Linked DNA regions of Arabidopsis thaliana. The protein of the gene in region 1 interacts with the protein of each later gene in a pairwise test. Each region holds a gene or a part of one and is shown in the gene's direction. Other genes may lie near its edges.

Evidence for each region. Proteins that work in one complex are often made in the same cells at the same time.
Region 2: the proteins of AT4G20790 (region 1) and AT1G14390 interact in a protein complementation assay, tested with the Arabidopsis thaliana proteins (2 studies listed by BioGRID).
Region 3: the proteins of AT4G20790 (region 1) and AT3G02880 interact in a protein complementation assay, tested with the Arabidopsis thaliana proteins (2 studies listed by BioGRID).

The regions. Positions count from the first base shown.
Region 1 is NC_003075.7:11,134,228-11,138,046, reverse strand, and holds AT4G20790 (Leucine-rich repeat protein kinase family protein), read left to right. Parts: upstream 1-1,623; coding exon 1,624-2,881; intron 2,882-2,973; coding exon 2,974-3,272; downstream 3,273-3,819.
Region 2 is NC_003070.9:4,922,139-4,927,439, forward strand, and holds AT1G14390 (Leucine-rich repeat protein kinase family protein), read left to right. Parts: upstream 1-1,898; 5' UTR 1,899-2,138; coding exon 2,139-3,384; intron 3,385-3,460; coding exon 3,461-3,582; intron 3,583-3,661; coding exon 3,662-3,908; intron 3,909-3,988; coding exon 3,989-4,182; intron 4,183-4,278; coding exon 4,279-4,656; 3' UTR 4,657-4,776; downstream 4,777-5,301. Other genes in the region: UBC1 (ubiquitin carrier protein 1), read right to left, coding at 5,156-5,284.
Region 3 is NC_003074.8:632,645-637,809, forward strand, and holds AT3G02880 (Leucine-rich repeat protein kinase family protein), read left to right. Parts: upstream 1-1,820; 5' UTR 1,821-2,174; coding exon 2,175-3,465; intron 3,466-3,652; coding exon 3,653-3,970; intron 3,971-4,063; coding exon 4,064-4,338; 3' UTR 4,339-4,640; downstream 4,641-5,165. Other genes in the region: ILR1 (Peptidase M20/M25/M40 family protein), read left to right, coding at 177-491, 584-712, 817-1,215.

The DNA.
Region 1 (3,819 bases):
TGGAGTAGCAAATCCACCGGCCGACCATGGAGACGCAGGATTCATCGTCCCCTGAAAAAACGAAAACAGAGTCATCGTCTCCATCGTTATTTGTTGGCCGTACACTCAATTTCATAAACTGTAAAGCTTCTTATGATAACTCATACCTTCCATCTCGACAGATTTTGACAATGTGTGTATGATTTTCGAAGTGACGAGGGTTTATCTTCTTTTGACAATGACGACTTCAGAGAAGATGTCGACGACGAGAGAAGTTTATGTTCAACGAGGGTTTAGGAGATAAGTTTATGTTTGGTTTCAATGTCTTGAGGACAAATGGGTTTGAGTTTTGTGATATTAGCCCATGACAAATCTTGAATTTTGAATGATATTGGGCTGGTTTGAATTTGGCCCATTAGTTTTCATCAAAACACAAGAGGGGTAAAACGGTCTTTGACTATTTGCTGTATTAGAGGAGGGCTGTATTAGAGAGGACAGAAGAAACTACCCTATCAGCCTATTTTTAAAAAAACTGTCTAGTTCTCAAATTATTTCCCTAAAAACTGCCTAGTTCTCAACTTATCTCAAATGACTATTCCTCTCACTTTTTGAGTTAGTGCTCATGGAAGTAGCATTTAGCTTCTGTTGAATTCACCTTTTAATGCGTTGCATTAGTGTAAAATTCTCTAACAATTAAGAAGCCTGAGTAAGTTTGCAATAAATTTTATTTTCTTTATCAAAAGTTTACCTTTTAGCTCCTGTTGAATTTCCATTTTTTTAAAGATTCATTAAGACAATAACTATTATTTTTATATATTTTTATTATTCTTAATTAAGAAAATACAAAAAATTATAAAATATGTTAATAACAAAATAATAAACAATACAACATAGGAAACTATACCAATTAAAGAAATTAAATGCATATAGATTAGATGAATAAAAATAGAAATGTAGAAAATTAAAAATTATATATATGATTCTATAAATCTAAATTTTAAATTAGGCATATTAATTTGGTAAAATTGCAGAAATATAAAGTTCATTGGATATAAAGTGAAACTATTGAAGATTTTATTGATAGTAGTTTATATAATTCAATTCAATTCTCAAACAAAAATTATATTTAACATTGAGCACATTTACCAAATAATTATCGACTCAAATTCACCCACGTAGATGTTTGTTGCGCAAGAAAGAGAAAAAGTTTAGAACAAGATAAATAGACCAAAGAGACAAGAAATATATGAAAGGAATTCGAGGCACAATCTTACAAATACAAGCAAAACCATTCTAGATAATTTTTTACCAACTGACATAAACACATTATTATGTGTTCAATGACAACGAAAATGATAATTAAACATTGAAATTTGTTTTCATAGTGGAGCTATTGTAAAAAGTGTAGATATTCACAAAATTTAAAAAACTTCACAATTATTATTATTTTAATAATCTTCAACTTCCAAGCACACGATCACTAAAAGGAAAATGGGCGCGTAAATCTCATCCCACTCTGTTTCAAAATAACCGCCAACAACAACAACACCTCCAATAACACAGAAACTACCTCTCTGCTTCTCTCTCTAATCTCACCCATACACGAAACCAAATAACGAAACCTATTTGCTCTCTATCTCTCCAATGGCGTCTTCTCTGTTCTTCATCTTCTTCCTCACGTCACTACTATCATCCTATCTTCCTCTCTCAGTATTCTCCGCAACCGTCGTCGAAGACCTCGCTAATCTAAGTCCACCTCCTGATTTCAACACCACTATTTCCAACAACTGTCTTCGTGATCCAATGCTCCGTTACTGCAACAACACTTCCTCTTCTCCAATGGACATTGTCGAGATTTTCAGATCCACAATCGTCGCTAGTCATCTCTGTAACGAGTCCAAAAACCCTAACTGCGTTGAATCTTTCCCTAGAATCAGAATTCACGGTCGTCCTAAAACCGCTGCTCTTTACCTCTCTTTCGATTTCTTCTGGAAGTACTGTCCTTTAACCGTCGTTGATATCGAGTTAGTGAATAACTCTCTAACGAATGGTTTTCCGACAAATGTTCTGTCTTGTGCTCAGATTCGTACTCTTGATCTGAGTTACAACCAATTCTCTGGTTTTGTTCCGGTTCAAGATCTCTCAGGCTTACCCAATCTGACCCATTTGAACCTATCGTATAACCGATTCTCCGAGAATAAGATCTCGGATTCTGAGTTCTTCAAACGGTTTAACGCCTCTAGTTTCATACAGTCCGGTGTTCTTCCCAACGTGAAGCGTTACAAGATGAAAGTTTTGGTCTTGTTGATTGTTTTTCCAATAATGGTGATTTTGCTCTGTTTTTGCTTTGGCTGGTTATGTGTCAAGAGACCTGATTACTTACCAAGAACATGCCGGAGAAGAAACAAGTTCACATTCGCGATGCTTGAAGCAGCAACGGATGAGTTTTCAGATCAACATCTTGTGAGCATGAGCAATACAGTGGATATCTACAAAGGAACGTTAAGAGACGGGACAGAGACGAAGATCGAGGTTTATAAAGAGAAGGTTTCGAGTGAGAAAAGGCGTGAATTCGCAGAGGTATGCGAGATGGTTTTTAAGTTACGACACAAGAACTTGGTAAGAGTGTTGGGTTGGTGTAATAGTAGAAACATGAGAGCTTTGGTTACAGAATGGATTCAAGGTGAAAATGTTGAGACTTGGTTAAGTTCGTCAATGGCTTTATCATGGAGAAGAAGGTTAAGAGTAGTTCTAGGAGTTGTAGAAGGTATTTGTTATCTATCAGATCAATGGCCAGAGATTACATTTGATCTCACCACAAGCAGTGTTTTGTTATCCGATGATAATCAAGAACCTTTGATTTCTCATTTCAAGATTGGAGATAGAAACAACTTGTCAACAAGTAAGGCTTCATCTTCTTCTTGCAAAAATCAAAACCTTTTTAAGGCTATAAAAGCTAAGTCTGTTGTTGTTGTTGTTGTTGTGTTATTACAGATATATTCAACTTTGGATTGTTTTTTGTGGAGATGATTACAAATCTAAGACCTGATTTGGGACAAGAAGATTCAGAAAGAAGGTATCTTGAGTATATAAGAGTTCATTATCCGGATAATCTAGAGAGAGTGATTGATGAGAAGATGAAGATTGAGGGGAGAACATTTGATCAAGTTAAGCAAGCCATTACGCTAGGACTGATGTGTACTGATATAATACCACCATTAAAGCAACCAAGCTTGACGCAGATTTATGACTTGGTGAGTTCATTGTATGAGTCTAGTTCACGACATCATTGAAATACCTTGTAAAGCTTTATTGGTTTCTTTTGATTTTCAGACATCTGGTGTTAGATAGTATTGTAAGGATTAAAGACATATTTGTGTGTTTTTTCTTTGATTACTATAAGTACTGAGAGAATTTGCAGAAAATGAGTACTTAATTTGCAGACATGAAATCTGTAAATGGGCTTCATTTCTGCAAATGGGCTTTATTAGCTGAAATGGGTTTCATAGTTTTATGGGTTCTCAAATGACCCGACCCGGGTTGGAAGATATAGAAACTATACACTGGTTGGCAAATGGGAACGTTCGATTAAAAATTCGGTAACTACTACGACGTGACTTGTCTCTTCTCCGTTGAAAAGCCATCGACAGTTATGTATGAGTGTATCATTTATCAACTTGAAAGCAATTTCAGTTTTTAAAATAATCCAAATACTAATAAACCAGAAATTAACCCATCATCAAAGCATTAATAATCTTCATTACCATTTGAAACCGAAACTTGTATCACAATTAAATAACGATCATAAAATTAGACGTTTTTTTTTCTCTATCTCCATTT
Region 2 (5,301 bases), on another chromosome or scaffold:
CATTAGCAAATTTTATGTCACAACTAAACTACAGTGTAAACTTTATGATATTTTTTTTTTTCTGAATTTATTCAACTATATGCTATATAATTTGGGTAATTTATTTTGAACATGCCTAATTTATATGGACCTAAAGATGCATATTTTGGGCCTTAAATTAGTTGGATACATATATGGGTTTAAATTCTAACCTTTAATAAGCCTATAAGCCCAAAAAATAACAGTTTGTAAGTTATCTGACAAAGGATTTTAATAATAAAGCTGCATATAAAATTGAAAAGAAATGCATGTTGTATAATATTAATTGATACTTTGGCAGTGTCGCTTATTACAAAGGCAGTTGCATGTGATGTGCTTGCAAACTCGCATTTTATCTTCCCTTACCTTTTTGTTTTTAGAAAATAGTATATTTTTTCATCATGATTACTTGGAAACTTGGAAGCTGTGACAAAATATTGGTTTTGAGTGCTTCTGATAAAACCTTGTATTTTGAACTTGAAAACTTTTGTTTTCAGCCATTTTTTTAACTTACTACGATGACGGTCACTTGTTTTGGGATGAAACTTTTTACTACTTGGTGTTGGTGATGCATGGTTTCTATAATTCCTCTTATACAACAAAACTTTTTTGGTTTTTGTCAAAAATTGTATATAACCAACCTTCTTTTTATTAGGATCGCACGTCAGGCCACTTAAAAAGAAGTAAAGAACAATGAGAGATCGATGTAAAAAGAATAAAGGAACAAAAGAGAAAGTAATGGACAGTTCATCACAATTCACACACCAAAAAGAAAACAGCTGAACATTTGTTAGAATCTCAACACTTTCCAAACACACGAAAACAAAATGACACTCATTTCTCACCGACAATAGTGATGAAAATATATCATGGCCGAACTAATTGGTAGTATTATTAGTTTGAGATTGGTATTTTTTGTAACAGTTTGATATTGAATTGTTGATTGATGACCACGAGAAAAAAGAAGTACGATTTATATCATTTGTTGGTTTACTGTATATAGATGATCATTTGGTGTCCTTCTGGTTTCGAGAAAAACAACAAGTGGTTAAAAGTGTAGTTCGAGAAAAAGATTTGGTTAGGACATGTAATTCTTTATTTGAGCTTTTAATCCAACGAACGGGGTTAGATTTTCCTTGCGACGGTGGCTTTGGATGATCCTTAACGGCACGATCTGATCATTACATATTTACATTGACGAAAGAGCACGTGTAAAAAAACTCGTTCACTGGTCTGGTTGACTTTTATTACATACTGTCTGGTCGCTATATATCTATCAAATCTCTATGCATTAACAATTAATGCAACGTTGCTCATTAATTAAGTATGTATTTTTTGTTATTTTACAAGTAGTATTGATATTACAGGAGTTAAAATGTTATAAAAGAAACTACAAACATTTATTCGTAAGTTTATTCATTTATATTTTTTAAAAAATTGGTAAAGATGAAAGAATTTACCTTGGGGAAGAGATCAACGGATTTCGAGAGAAGTACTACTACACAACATTTATTCGTCAAACATGTATGTATTTGTATGTTTATGCATGTATTATGTATCAAATAAATGCATGTTATATGAGTAATAAAGAAAGGTCTTCTGACCATAACAGAGAAATTAATTAAGAACCAGTTGAAGTAAATAAATAACTCTAAATTGTGGAAATTTTAGATCAAAAGTAGATAAATAGTCAGATATTTCATGTGGATTTTACGTATTTTAAGGATCTAATTCATTTTATGCTTTTAAAAAATTTCATTCACTTTCTTCGAAGCAGTAAAACAGTCTGTCAATGTGAAACTTATGAACAATCAACATAAGAAACAAAAATTAAACAAAATTTGTATTTATTGTCTTCTTCTCAGCAGAACTTCTCTCCACTTAATTTTGTTTCTTGCTCTGTCCCAAAAACATTGTTTCATTTTTTTATCTCCCAATTTCCCTAGAAAATCTGCTTCCGATCTAAAAAAATCTCTAGAATTTATGTACAAAACACCATTTTTTTAGACTACTAAACAAATACTAACACTAATCTCGGCTACAATAACAGAAAGACCTTCTGTTCCTTAAGCCACAATAACATCTTTCTTTCTAATTTCTCTGTAATTCTTCCTGAGAGAATGCATAGTTCCTCTAAAAGCCAGGCCTTTTCTCTCACTTTTCTTCTCTTTCTTTTTCTTCTGCCATCAGTCTCAGAATCACAGCTAATATCAAGTGAATCAAGAACTCTATTAGAAATCCAAAAGCATTTACAATATCCACCAACTCTTCGATCATGGAGCAACTGGACCAATTTCTGCTACCTCCCTTCTTCTCCTTCTTTCAAAATCCTCTGTTTCAATGGTCATGTAACTGAATTAACCGTCACGGGGAACAGAACCGTTAAGCTCCCCGGAAGATTCTCAAGCGACTCACTATTCACTGTTCTTACAAAACTCTCAAACTTAAAGACATTGTCTCTGGTCTCTCTTGGCATCTCTGGTCCTCTCCCTTCACAGATCATCAGGTTATCTTCATCTCTTCAATCTCTGAATCTCAGTTCTAATTTCATCTCTGGGAATATTCCTAAAGAGATCTCGTCGTTGAAGAATCTGAGAAGTCTTGTTCTAGCGAACAATTTGTTTAACGGAAGTGTTCCTGATCTCAGAGGATTGTCGAATCTTCAAGAGCTGAATTTAGGCGGTAATAAACTCGGTCCTGAAGTTGTTCCTTCACTTGCAAGTAACTTGATTACTATTTCATTGAAGAACAACTCTTTTGGATCAAAGATTCCAGAACAGATCAAGAAGCTGAATAAGCTTCAGAGCTTAGATCTTTCCTCCAACAAGTTCACTGGCTCAATCCCAAGATTCCTGCTTTCGCTTCCTTCGCTTCAGAATCTAAGTTTAGCACAAAACTTGCTGAGTGGATCACTTCCAAATTCATCGTTGTGCAACTCCAAGCTTAGAATTTTAGATGTTTCTCGGAATCTTCTGACTGGGAAGCTTCCATCTTGCTTCTCTTCCAAGAAACAGACAGTACTGCTCTTCACATTCAATTGCTTGTCTATAAATGGTTCTCCTTCTGCAAAGTATCAGCGTCCAGTTACCTTCTGTGAAAACGAAGCAAAGCAAGCAGTAGCTGCTGTGAAGTCTGACACTAAAGATAAAGAAAGGAAAGAAGAAGATACAGGAATCGAACTTGGATTGGTGATTGGCATTATCATCGGTGTGATCCTCGTTTCAGCGGTTTTAGCTGGCTTGGTTTTGGTTAGGATGAGAAAATCAAGATCAAAAGAAGAGCCTTTGGAAGCAAACAACGTCGATCAGGTCACTGTTTGCAGCAACACCACCAGGTCCACCACATCAAAGACAGTACCAGATCTAAGTAGGCTATTACTTTGAAATCTTGAATCAAGTTTTCACACCCATTAACCTAACTAGCTTGATTTTTTCAAATGCAGGACGTGTACCGCAAACCATGAGATCCGCGGTGATTGGACTATCACCATACCGAGTTTTCTCTTTGGAGGAACTGGAAGAAGCAACCAACAATTTTGATGCAGAGAATCTCTGTGGAGAACAGGTAAAGGAAAATGTAAATAAGACATGATTTAAAATTGATCCGAGTGTCTAACTAATCGATATATCTAATTTCAAAACAGCTGTACAAAGGTTGTCTTAGAGAAGGCATAGCAGTGACAGTGAGGTGTATTAAGCTGAAACAGAAGAATTCAACACAGAATTTAGCTCAACAAATGGAAGTTTTATCAAAGCTAAGGCATATGCATTTGGTCAGTGTTCTTGGACACTGCATTGGTACTTATCAAGATCATCATCCTTATGCCGGAAGCACTATTTTCATTGTCCAAGAATATATCTCTAACGGGTCTTTGAGGGATTACCTCACCGGTAATACTTGAAAAAGATTATCGATTTCAAGAACTTATATTTTTGTTGGGAAACTAATTATTTGGAAATGTTTTTGGCAGATTGGAGAAAGAAAGAGGTGTTGAAATGGCCTCAGAGAATGTCGATAGCGATTGGAGTTGCTCGAGGAATACAGTTCTTGCACACAGGAGTGGCACCAGGAATATTTGGGAACAATTTGGAAATAGAGAATGTTTTACTTGATGAAACACTCACTGTAAAACTCAGTGGTTATAGTATTCCTTTACCATCCAAGGTATATAAACAAACCAGATATAATATAATCAGGATATAGCTTCTAATCTTCAGTTTAACCTCTCATGAAATATATAACCTTCTGGGGGAATTTCAGGTTGGAGCGGAGAGCCCTAGTAATGAAGATGGAGAGAAAGAAGATGTGTACCAGTTTGGAGTGATACTAATTCAGATCATCACAGGCAAAGTAATAGCAGCTGCATCTTCAGAGTTGGGGAGCTTGAAGCTTCAGCTGGAGAACAGTTTGAGAGACGAACCATCGGTGTTGCGTAGCTTGGCAGATCCGTGTGTGAGAGGAACATATGCATACGAGTCATTGAGAACCACAGTAGAGTTTGCCATTAACTGTCTTTGTGAAGATCAGAGGAAGCGGCCATCGATAGAGGATGTTGTATGGAATCTGCAGTACACAATTCAAGTGCAACAAGGATGGACAAGCAGTGAGAACCTCGGGCTTGGTGGTTCAGAACTATAGAAGAGAAATATAAAATCACCATCCTTGAAGAACATAGAGAAACTGATCAATGTCAAATTCAAGGCCTATATGAGAATACATAAAGTTGAACCTACTAATACTTAAGGTACTTACGAGTCTCATGTGAAGCTTCAGATTTTGGTGTAGAAATTGGATTAGCGTCACAAAGAAAGCAATGCAATTGTTAAGGCAATGAAAGGGTGTAACAGAAGGATAAGGCCACAAACCCTTAAATAAAATATCGCAACTTTGTGGAATTTGGGTACAAAGTTGTTTTTTGTAGCTAGCAAGTAAATCGTAATACATATATACACAAAAGTGAATAATTCAGATGGTTTGGTACAAAGTTGTTTTTTTAAGGATGTTGGGTTACATCAAAGCATGGAATCACTTAAATAGTTTTGGAAACACAAGACATGAATGAAAAGAGAAGAAAGCTGTTGCTGAATCGTGATTGAGAGAAAGTAGAGAGAGCTACAACGCTTACAACAAACTACTACTAGTCAGCAGTCCAGCTTTGCTCAACAACATCACGCACTCTCCTGTTGTACTCGCGCTTGCTTTCGCTGTACATCCGAGCAGCTTCCGAGTTTGCAGGAGAATTCGGATTAGGGTCACAGAGCAAGGACTGCAATAACAAAGGGA
Region 3 (5,165 bases), on another chromosome or scaffold:
AACTCATTTCGATGTGGGTTAGTGTTTTCTAAGATTCTTAGATATATGTGTGTGTATGTCTTTGATTGCTAATTGTTATGTGTGTGTGTTTTCTAGAGTTGTTAGTGTGTGTGTCTTATGAGAGTTTGGTGAATCTTATGAGGGTTTTGAACGAAAACACAATTTTTTTGCAACAGGGGACAGTAAAACTTGTGTTTCAACCAGGCGAGGAAGGTTATGCAGGTGCTTATGAAATGCTAAAAGACGAGATTCTAGACGACTTAGATGGGATACTCAGTGTTCATGTCTTTCCATCGATCCCATCAGGTGGTATTGGTTCTAGGCCTGGGACCGTTCTTGCAGGTGCAGGATTGTTTACAGTCACGGTTCACGGTCAAGGTAGCCACGCAGCTACACCGCACTTCTCTAAAGACCCGGTTCTTGCAGCTTCTTCCGCTGTTGTTGCCTTGCAACAGATTGTTTCGCGGGAACTGGATCCACTCGAAGCTGGTGTAAGTTTGCTTTCCACTTTCAAAGCATTGGTGTTTGATGAATCAGAATCTTGGCTGAAATCAGCGGAGATTGGTTTTTTTATGTTTCTCAGGTGGTTACAGTTGGATATATTGAAGGAGGTCATGCTCAAAACGTAATACCGCAGAGTGCGAAATTTGGAGGTACTTTCAGAAGCTTAAGCAACGATGGGCTTCTATTTATCCAAAGACGGATCAAAGAGGTAAAGAGATTGTTTTTTACACCATTTTTCTATACAATCTTGTTCTACTATTCGAATAATGTAGGTCCCTAACCCTGTTTAAATGTTTCTTGATGATGATGCAGATTTCAGAGGCACAAGCATCGGTATACCGATGCAAAGCAGAAGTAAACTTCGAAGAGAAAAAGCCGTCGCTTCACCCGGTAATGAATAACGACGAGGGCTTATACGAGCACGGTAAAAAAGTAGCGGAAGCGATGATTGGAAAGAATAACTTCCATGATTTCCCGGTGACAATGGGAGGAGAGGATTTCAGCTTCTTCACTCAAAAGACTAAGGCTGCGATTTTCGTGCTGGGGGTAAAGAATGAGACGCTAGGCGCTGGTAAGCCGCTTCACTCGCCTTACTTCTTTGTTGATGAAGAAGCTCTTCCTGTTGGGGCTGCTCTTCACGCAGCTATGGCCGTTTCTTATTTGGACGAACATGGTCATAGCCATGAAGAAGAGGTTAAGAGTGAATTATAGAAGGTGTTGGGAGAAAATCAGCTTATATTAGTCATCATCTATTTGTATTTGAACTTGAAAGTTAGGTGAGGTTAGGTTTCGGGTTGGGAAGAATGTTTGTTAATAGTCACGAGAAACCAACCACTTCTATTAAAATAAATTTGATGTAAGAGTTTTAAAAATTGAACAATTGAAATCTTCAAAATGAATACCACTTCTTAAGTTCTCTGTTGACCATTTCTATTACCTTCCTTTCAAATTGATACAACAAATACATAAAAAAAAAAAAAAAATGTCTATGGTACAAACTTATATCAGAAATAAAAACGGTGTCGGAGAGGCTAATCTTTGTTTGTCAACGGTAGCTCAGACACATTTGACAGACCTGGCATGTCTTTGGTCACACTCAACCTGCAAAAAAAAAAAACATAAAAGAAACAAAACGATAACGACCATTAATTTTTTAATTAGACCTAATTTATTGATCTAATACAAAAGAAAGGAAAAACAGAGGTCGTTTAAACGTCTACAAAAAACATTACTGCAGTGATTTATTGTCATTTATGTAACGCAAATATAGTTGACTCTGATAAAATTGTTACAACTAGTATTCATAAGTCATAACCTTATAATTAATTAATTATCTTTCTGTAAATTAGCTGTCAAATTAAATACATAAGATTCTCTTTTAACTTTTTTGTCAAAAAGGAAATATTCCAATTAGTAACTTTTCTTTTTTTCCTTTTTCTCTGCAATTATGACCATTTTCTCTCTCTTAGCCGGCTCTAGAGAGAGAAGAAAGACAGAGCTGAAACTCTTGTAAACCAAAAAACACAAAAGTCTCTTTGTTCAAACACTCGTTTACGCGTAGCCGAAATAAATTTTCCAAAAACCCATATCCGAAAAAGTCGATATATTTATTGAATTTTTGGAACCAAGGAGACGAAGAATTTACACGGTTTTTGAAGAAGAAGAAGAAGATGAAGTATAAGCGTAAGCTAAGTCTCTCTGTTGTCTTCCTCTTTGTCTTCTATCTCGCTGCGGTGACTTCAGATCTAGAGTCTGACCGGAGAGCTTTACTCGCTGTTCGTAACAGTGTCCGTGGCCGTCCTTTGCTATGGAACATGAGTGCTTCTTCTCCTTGTAATTGGCACGGAGTCCACTGCGATGCGGGTCGGGTCACGGCTCTCCGATTACCCGGATCTGGTTTATTCGGTTCTTTACCAATCGGTGGTATTGGTAATCTAACCCAGCTTAAGACTCTTTCTCTCCGGTTCAATTCTCTCTCTGGTCCTATCCCTTCGGATTTCTCCAACCTTGTTCTCCTCCGTTACTTGTATCTTCAAGGTAATGCCTTTTCCGGTGAGATTCCGTCGCTTCTCTTCACGCTTCCGAGCATAATCAGAATCAATCTAGGGGAGAATAAATTCTCGGGTCGGATCCCGGATAATGTCAATTCTGCGACCCGGTTGGTTACTCTGTATTTGGAGAGGAATCAACTCTCTGGTCCGATCCCTGAGATCACGCTTCCTCTTCAGCAATTCAATGTTTCTTCTAATCAGTTAAACGGGTCTATTCCGAGTTCGTTGTCGTCTTGGCCTCGAACTGCTTTTGAAGGTAACACTCTCTGTGGGAAGCCTTTAGACACTTGTGAGGCAGAGAGCCCCAATGGTGGTGACGCTGGAGGACCCAATACGCCGCCGGAGAAGAAAGATAGCGACAAGTTATCCGCCGGAGCTATTGTCGGGATTGTGATCGGATGTGTTGTTGGTCTGTTACTGCTTCTTTTGATTCTGTTCTGTCTCTGTAGAAAGAGAAAGAAAGAAGAGAACGTTCCATCTAGGAATGTTGAAGCTCCTGTCGCTGCTGCGACTTCCTCCGCTGCTATACCAAAGGAAACGGTGGTTGTTGTCCCGCCGGCTAAGGCTACGGGGTCGGAGAGTGGTGCGGTGAATAAAGATTTGACCTTTTTCGTGAAATCTTTCGGGGAATTCGATTTGGATGGATTGTTGAAGGCTTCAGCTGAGGTTCTTGGGAAAGGAACAGTTGGGTCGTCGTATAAGGCAAGCTTTGAGCATGGGTTAGTGGTGGCTGTGAAACGGTTAAGAGATGTTGTGGTGCCTGAGAAAGAGTTCAGAGAGAGATTGCATGTTTTGGGATCAATGAGTCATGCCAATCTCGTGACTCTGATCGCTTACTATTTCAGCCGTGACGAGAAGCTTCTTGTCTTTGAGTACATGTCTAAAGGAAGCTTGTCTGCGATATTGCACGGTATAGAATAGTAATCTCCATTTGTGCATTTGTTTATTTTTAGGGTTCTTAGTTTAGCTGATGCTAGTTTGTGATCTTGATGGACCTGGTTTGGCTAAAATTGACACTGATTACTGAATTGTTTCATAGTTAGTTTATCTTATGTGTCTTCAAGCTCGGTTTTGAAGCTCTTTTAATGGATTTGTAGGGAACAAAGGAAACGGGAGAACTCCGTTGAACTGGGAAACCAGAGCCGGTATAGCCTTAGGAGCTGCAAGAGCGATTAGCTACCTACATTCGCGTGATGGGACAACTTCTCATGGAAACATTAAGTCCTCGAACATACTATTATCTGACTCCTATGAAGCTAAGGTCTCTGATTACGGTCTTGCTCCCATCATTAGTTCTACATCTGCACCTAACCGTATTGATGGCTACCGTGCCCCTGAAATCACTGATGCTCGCAAAATATCCCAAAAAGCTGATGTCTATAGCTTTGGCGTCCTAATCCTTGAATTACTCACAGGTAACAAACAATCAAGGATAGATATATCTTTTTAACTGCTTTTTTTGCAATTGCTGTGGTTTCTAGGTTTTAACATGGAACATTACATTGCAGGTAAGTCTCCAACGCATCAGCAGTTGAATGAAGAAGGCGTAGATTTGCCGAGATGGGTCCAATCTGTTACCGAGCAACAAACACCGTCCGATGTGCTTGATCCCGAGCTCACAAGGTACCAACCTGAGGGCAATGAGAACATCATTCGTTTATTGAAGATCGGTATGAGCTGTACGGCTCAGTTCCCAGATAGTCGTCCTTCGATGGCTGAAGTCACCAGACTCATTGAGGAGGTTTCTCATTCATCTGGCTCCCCAAATCCTGTATCCGACTGATTTTTTGGGGGTCTAAATTGATTGATTTGAATATTGTTTGGGGTCAAGTTGCAATTTCTTGAATAGTGTCGACCCCACTTCCCGCCTTTTTTCTACTTCTTCTTCTTTGTTCTTGTTCTAGTTTGTTCGTTAATTCTTGAGCCTCAAATTGAGATGAGACCTATCAGTTTCTTTTTTTCTTTCTTTCTACTTTTCTTTATTTCCAAAGTTTTAAAAATGTCTATAAAACTATTGCTTTTGCTAATTTTTGTATAAATATATAGTTGATTGCGTGTGAATAAATTGGTTTTTGTTTTCTTCTTTACACATCTTATCCCAGAATCCTAGTCAACGATTCAGCCAAAAAACAATGTCAACGAGTTTTATTTTTTATCGCCGTCCAAAATTTTGAGCCAAAAACAAAGTCAACGACAAAAGTGGTCATGAATATCGTCTCACGATTGACTGACAAATACTTCACGATTTGATTAGATATGAAGTTTTATAATGTGAAGTTGGTAACCACTAACTAATAACCCTACTTCACAGGAGAAAGAAAAAACATTTTAGATATGAAAAAACAACATTGACCCAGAAAGATATATATTTGCTTAGAGATTTTGTATGAAAGAATTACTAGTGCTGATAAACTATTTAGTTCAAGCTTAAAGGGAAATCGATTAGATAATTTTTCGAATTATTTGAAGAAAACATATTGTGATCTGGACTTATAATTTTTCATGTGATATACCATTTACACCGAGTCATGGGCAGTTGCCACAACTTTATCTCATGTTCCAACTCGTACCAGACTGGGTACATATGCACATGGGGTTCAATAAATTTAT